Daphnia pulex: one gene and its partner. Each later gene encodes a partner of the first gene's protein in a complex. Links are inferred from orthologs where the notes say so. Each region holds a gene or a part of one and is shown in the gene's direction. Other genes may lie near its edges. The genes, in order: SAGA-associated factor 29-like and protein Dr1-like.

Region 1 (3,732 bases):
TTACCTTAACGTGCGTACAGGTGGCAAGAGACGACACGACACATCGACAAAAGGCAGCCGATAAAACATGTCCGACAGCCACCAGGCAACATCAACTATTTTGCACAACCATTCAACACTGCAAGAACATCAACATTACGTAAATATCACATTGAAATATGATGTTGAAGTGAATGTCTGCACAAGCTCCATTTGCGAAAATTCCATTTTGACAAGCTCCATTGCGAAAACGCGCCCTCAAGACATCTCGACTGGAAAATGACTGCAAAACCACTGCTCACACCATGAACGCTGCATCAACACCATTGGCAGCTCCAACATCAAACTAACCAAGAAATCCTGTAAATCAAGTTCAAAGGAAAACAATGAACCAATTACATTTTCAAATACAAGAAAGGGTTAATTTCTGTTTTATATTTAAAAAATACAATTCTATTGAGCAAATCTTTTCACAAAAGCTCTTAATTAGAAACATATAGTTGTTGTAAAATGTCATCTAAATCGAGAATTCAATGTCTGACCTGATTCCTGACAAAAATCACATGTGTAGCACACACTTTTAAAGTAGACTAAAATATAGGCAAATTCTAACCCACTCGAGTGTTCTAACAAGTTAAGTGCATGTCTGTGAAAGCTCTTGGCATAATTCAACTGGAAATTGAAACAATTTGCAAAACAAAACGTAATGAAGCTCAGGCTTTACTGCTCAACAGTTAATAGAAAAATTTAAATTACTTTTTGAAACAAAGTCACACAATTTTAATTCAGAAACAAAGTCTTGAATTAAAAAGTTAAGCAATAATTACTTTTTACTGTTCTGCATGGAACGAAACGTGCAACATTCAGCAAGAGACGACATTGTGGGAATGTACAGCAGGCCACATGCGATTACCAATTATGAATTGAAGACAATGTTACACGTTTTGAACCACACACAAAATTAAATTTTATAAAATTAAAGAATAAAAAATGGAATTACCATGTCTATGATCAACAATGTCACGTAAGAAAGTACCAGCAATGACTAAATTTTACCTTCTCGGACAGCGTCTCGACAGCAAAAGAAAGACTGTTCTGTCAGTCGTCTCAGGACTTTGACAGTTTGATGACCCATCCCCCTACACCCCTCTAGAAACAAACACACTAGAGCTGAATAGTTCAATCCCTAAACACGCTGAAATATTTAGCCACCTAGTGACAGCCCTGAGCATCCACGGACGACTAGAATGGGACGGAAAATAAACGAAATATTCGTCATCTCCGTGAAATACATTTAGTAGATAAAAAAAATTATCGAAAAATTAACAGGTGAGCTTTCTTGGTGGAATAGTTATCGTCAGTCATCACCAAAAAGTTACCACACAATGCCGATACATTTTTACAGGGATGTGCAAAATATTAAAATAACTGACTACAAAATAACTAAATAATTTGAGAGTTGAAAATGATCAAAGGCTATATAATAAAACCACTCGAAAAAAAGGCCTGATTTAGAAATTATTGCCATGGTTATACAATTTGAGCATGCTCATGCCATCTGCTAATGACGAATGGAACTAATACAGTTGATGCCATAGTTGCCATGGTGACGACAAAGCAACTGCCGATGTTACGATTTTCAATTTATTGTTTGGAAGGCTGATTTCCGATGACTGTTTTTAAACTCATCTTCATTAATTTAGTAAGGTTATTTTTCTGTGCATAAAAGATATGTAAATTTCAGAATTTAATTTTCTTTAGTTCTTGGTTTTCTTGGTGGCTTTTGCTTGGATTCCAGTCATCATTGCTGGTTTGAGCTCATCATTTAGGAGAGGTAGTTGTTATTAAACATATACATCATGGCTTTGTCATTAGATTCTGCCACACAGCAAGTCCAAGTAAGGTTGATATAATCAGTTGTTAAGGTATTTACTTAGTTCTAATTTGGATTGGGGTGCAGGAACGATTGAAGGGGATCTACAAGTTGGTCAAGCAGATTCAAGAAGAGAAAGTTCGTAATGAAGGTAACTTAAATGCTGTTATCAAAGCTCATGAAAAACTTCAGTCAGATGACAAAATTTCTCCATATCACAAGGTATTTCTATTCCCATATCACTAATTAATCAGCACTAATGAATGCCTATAAAATTATCAGTCTAAATTAAAAGGACTGTATTGCTCTGTGGTGGCTGATGCTGAAAAAGAAGAGGACCTTATTCGTAAGGCATTAAGCAAAATCTATGAAATTCGCGTTATCAGACATGAAAGGAGAATTCAGGTTATTCCCAAGAACGTAAACTTAGAAAATTTCACCTAACATTGTACTAACATTCTTGTTCAGGCAAAACAAGCTGGCAGTAAGGAAACTATAAGAAGAGGTGCTCTCATGAAAATGCTTCTCGTTACTGCTCAAACTCTCCCGCTGTGGATCAGTAAGTCAGGACAACAGCCACCAGCATTATGTGGAGCAGTTCCAGCTGACCCAACTTACGTTGCCAAAGTATTACATTATTCGAATGTCATAAACTGTTAATTGACTAACCGAAACACCTTATATGTATGTCAGCTGGGAGATATTGTTGCGGCTTTGGTAAAGAGTACAGACGGCGATGAGAATTGGATTTTGGCAGAAGTCGTTCAATATTTAGCTTCTTCTGGGCGCTATGAAGTGGATGATATTGACGAGGAACAGAAAGAGCGACACACTTTAAGCAAACGCAGAGTAATTCCTCTTCCTTTGATGCGAGCTAATCCTGAAACCGATCCCGATGCTTTGTTCTCAAAAGGAGCCACTGGTAAAAACAAAACAAAAAAATCGCAAATTTTAGCTGATCCGACGTTAGCATATTATTAACATACTAAACATTTGTTTTTAGTCATGGCTTTGTATCCACAAACGACCTGTTTTTACAAAGCGGTAATCAATCAATTACCCCAAACAGCTCAAGATGAATACCAAGTTCTTTTTGAAGATTCTAGCTATACTGAAGGATTCAGTCCGCCTTTGATGGTGGCGCAACGATATGTCATAGCTATCAAAGAGAAAAAGAAATGATTTCAAATACATTTGACCCTTTTTTCTATTCTCTCTTCTGTACAGCAGGATTTGTGTTTTTCACTACTTCTTCCAACCACGTATGAAACATGAAATAGAATCTAAATGGGGGAGTTTTTGAATCCGTAGTCGGCGTAGTCAGAAGGCTTCATTTTATCGGAAACTTTAGGGAAGTTCGGATCTCCTGGGTAAACTGCGGGTCTGGAGCCGAAAATTGCAAATCCTTTCTTGCGAGTCCAGTCCTAAAAGTTAAAATGTAGTATTTTGGGTGCTGTCCACTATTAGAGGCAAATACTTACATGAGAGTTGTACTTCAGATTGTAGGTAATTCCCAAAACCAGCCATCCAGCAAGAAGATATTTACCAACCCAATAGCGAGTAATCTGAGTTTTGTCGCCCTATGAATAAGAAAAAGAATTAGAACACAGATTTTATGAATTATGTAGTAGTCTCACAACCACAAAATGGACAGTTAATTAATTTTTAAAAGTAAAGTGTTTTAGTTCACATTACATCTGCTCGAACTAAATCGGGGAAATGTTACCCATAACAAAAGTTTTAAGTTCTGTTAATACTTATTATTACTTACCAATCTAGATTGAAGTTTAGAGAAGACAAAATCAAGGGGAAAACGATATGCTCGACGGATTGGATTCATTTCCATTTGGCTGGCACTAAATTGCGTACGAGGTTCATGG
Region 2 (3,298 bases), on another chromosome or scaffold:
AAAATGGCTAAGCTTCAGAAGTTGGTTGACCTGGATTGAGGCCATAAATTTCAGTTTTGTCGTCAGTCCGTGAGATATTTTTGGGTATATTGACTAAAGTTGTAGCAACCTACTAATATTGAGCGTTATTACATTACGCGTTTGCTGATTAACGTACGTTTTGTGCTGGTATTCCATCCCCAACTTGAAAATGACGTTGGCTAGTAAAGGAGACTGGGATTAATATTTTGGGACCACTGCTTTCCCACTGATGGTTACTCCACCAGACCAATATGGTAAATCAACGTGAAAGTGGGCCAATATAATGCCAGTGTTGCAGAGAGTAGATTATGTCTGTCTTCTTCTTTCTCAACTTTGACAACAGTATGAAAAGTATGTCTATCAATTTCTACGTCAAGATCCAGACAGGATTTGTTTTGACCTAAAATGTAATAAATCATTAGTGTGTTTTACGACAAAAGCAAGGTGATTTAATTATGTGCTTGTTTTCCAACTGTAACATGGTAGCCACCTGCCTCAAGTTGTATTGCAGCAGACAAAGCACAAAGGGCTTTTCAAATTCGTTCTTGCCCAAATTTTCAAGCAACTATTGGAATTGATGGGGCTGCTCGATTAATATCACTCCTTACGGTCCCCCAGGCAATAGTTTCTTTACCACCGTCAATTTCTCACCGACCACAATCCACATTCCAAGGTCCACGGTGCAACGGGACACCCGTGGGTAACATAAGTTAGACAATCGAGAAATATAAACAAACTTTAGAGTGAACGGACTCATTATTGCGTACTAGTCACTACAATCGAACAATTCCATGATTGAAACTTTGAAAAAATATGCAGATGATGTCATCGTCACCAACTCACCAATCTGCAATGCAGTCTGCAGACTTGCACAGTGCAGACGAACTTCCGTGAGGAATGGGAAGCGACGTTGCCCTTTTACGAAGTTCAGAAAATTACCCGAATTCTTTCTAACTTCTCAGTTGTTGATCTCCGTTAGCAAGCAAAGGGCTTTTGTGATTTTGTTTTCATTTAAAAAATCAAAAAACATATTCAAACTACAAACGACAAATATCCTATTCATTAAGGACTTCAGGTTTAAATTAAAATATCTAGCCTTTTATGCTTACAACAGAGTTATAGATGTATAGCTCTGCCATACACGCTGTCATCTATAGCTCTGCTTACAAACAGCGCAAATAGAATCACACTCGGTCTCTGAATTTCGAATTTAAAAAACAAAGCTAACACGCACAATAACACTGCTTGTCAACAACCTTCAATAGATCGAGTTGCTATAAGCAACACGAATGAAGTTTAGATATTTTACCCGGAATTTTTCTTTTCCTTGCGTGGTGCCGTGGTCGACCTAGGCGTATTCTTGGTTTTGTCAATGACTTTTCCTCTAATTCCTCGCGGACCGACGATGAAGTAGAAATTGTAGTATAAAAATGACAATCATTTCAAGGTTTGCGTGGAAATCACAGGGGGATGACAGCAATTTTACAACCAAAAATGACCTGATTCTGAATTATGCGGGGAAAAAACAATGGTCTTTTTTAGTTTTTGTTTCGTAATGCCTATAATGATAATGAATTTGGATTGCCTAACTAATGGTGCAAGCTGATAATGGTGCAAGCTGATATATTCTATCAGTCGGATACGAAGTACTAGTCGCAGCCACCAGATGGATAAGGTTCTGGACATTCCCAACCTAGTACCTGTATACGATTGGTAGAGGCGCATAAAAAAAGGTTATTTTAGCGATTCATTTTAGTTTCTTATCTAGTGTGTTTGGTGTAGTTTGTTGTATTGCTTTGTTTATGCATTCTTCTGCACGAGAGAAAAGTTAATTATTAGTGAAAACTTTGAAAGAATTTAGGATCATACTCTTACCGTGTGTGCTGTTCTTTTAATTCTACGTATATAATTTTCTGGTATATAATGAGTCATAAATTTGTTTTTCAATATTACGGTTTCCTTCTAGTATTGGCTGACAAAGCCTTTGCTCTTCATAAAGTTTTCTGTTTGTGGACAGTAGGTTTTTTTTCTGATATACAGGCTTTAAAGATGGCAGAAGCTGTGCCAGAAGAAGAATTGACCATTCCGAGAGCTGCTATGAACAAAATGATTAAAGAGATTGTTCCCAGTGTCCGAGTTGCCAATGAAGCTAGAGAATTGATTCTTAACTGTTGTTCTGAGTTCATACACCTTTTGGCTTCAGAGGCTAATGAAATTTGTACTCAGCAACAGAAAAAGACTATTAATGCAGAGCATATACTTGGAGGTAATTGTTACAAATGTTGTAAAGTAATGGAAAGGAAAAATAATCTAACACACATGGTTGTAGCATTAGATAGGCTTGGATTCAATGACTACCGTACTGATGCTGAAGCAGTGTTGAAAGATTGTAAAGCTGTTGCTGCCAAAAGGAGGCGCCAAAGTACAAGGTTGGAAAACTTGGGAATTCCAGAAGAAGAGCTATTGAGACAGTAAGTTTTATCACTTTTTTATGATTTAATTAGTCTAATACATATTTTTTAAAATATAGACAGCAGGAATTATTTGCCAAAGCCAGAGAAGAACAAGCTGCTGCTGAGCAGCAACAGTGGCTACAACTTCAAGCAGAGGCTCAAATGTCCTTGCAGCAACAACAGGGAGATGTTCCATCAAATTCAGAAGATGGAGAATACTCTTAGAAGATTGTTTGTGAAATTTGATTCAATACATACAAAATTTGATTTCTAGAATGAGCTTAATGAAGTGTATTTGAAATATTTCTACTGTTGTCTTAATTATTATTTATCAGTACCATCCTAACATTCTTTACTTTTGTACTTGAAGCATTATTTATACTACTCAGATACCTCATATTTGGAAAGAATTTAACTGCATGACTTATTGCATAATTAACAAGTTATTTTTCATTTTGAATGCTTAACAATTCGACAAGCCGCAAATCGACTTTATATCAGTATAATAAGGTTTGAGAGGATAAATAACATGGACAAACCAAGCCTTTGATCGACATCTAAGTGTTACGAGATTACGAGAAATTCAACTTTATCATAGTGGTATTGGACAAAAGTACGTGTGTCGTGGTGGAAAAAGAAGTTATATATAAATATGAAAAGGCAAAAGTGAAATTCCAAACATTATTTCTTTTTTCGACTAAGCAATCTTGCTTTCTGTAAAATTGCAAAAACATTGTTAGACCATATCTTAAAAGTAGAGCAAATAAACTGGACGACTTACCAAAGTTCCCTCGTCAGTTTTCGATTTAGCATAGCCATAACTT

The links.
Region 2: SAGA-associated factor 29-like (region 1) and protein Dr1-like share a complex: the UniProt entries of both Homo sapiens proteins name them as parts of the ADA2A-containing complex. The link is inferred for Daphnia pulex from reciprocal best matches to the Homo sapiens genes SGF29 and DR1.

The regions. Positions count from the first base shown.
Region 1 is NC_060019.1:9,072,262-9,075,993, forward strand, and holds SAGA-associated factor 29-like, read left to right. Parts: upstream 1-1,561; 5' UTR 1,562-1,681; intron 1,682-1,740; 5' UTR 1,741-1,838; coding exon 1,839-1,877; intron 1,878-1,939; coding exon 1,940-2,074; intron 2,075-2,134; coding exon 2,135-2,257; intron 2,258-2,320; coding exon 2,321-2,479; intron 2,480-2,545; coding exon 2,546-2,774; intron 2,775-2,855; coding exon 2,856-3,034; 3' UTR 3,035-3,062; downstream 3,063-3,732. Other genes in the region: uncharacterized protein LOC124191408, read right to left, coding at 3,136-3,276, 3,334-3,432, 3,624-3,732. UniProt on the Homo sapiens protein: Chromatin reader component of some histone acetyltransferase (HAT) SAGA-type complexes like the TFTC-HAT, ATAC or STAGA complexes.
Region 2 is NC_060021.1:11,079,393-11,082,690, reverse strand, and holds protein Dr1-like, read left to right. Parts: upstream 1-1,778; 5' UTR 1,779-1,937; intron 1,938-2,020; exon of another isoform or gene 2,021-2,061; 5' UTR 2,062-2,070; coding exon 2,071-2,287; exon of another isoform or gene 2,288-2,350; coding exon 2,351-2,492; exon of another isoform or gene 2,493-2,551; coding exon 2,552-2,699; 3' UTR 2,700-2,750; downstream 2,751-3,298. Other genes in the region: uncharacterized protein LOC124194693, read right to left, coding at 3,156-3,188, 3,256-3,298. UniProt on the Homo sapiens protein: The association of the DR1/DRAP1 heterodimer with TBP results in a functional repression of both activated and basal transcription of class II genes.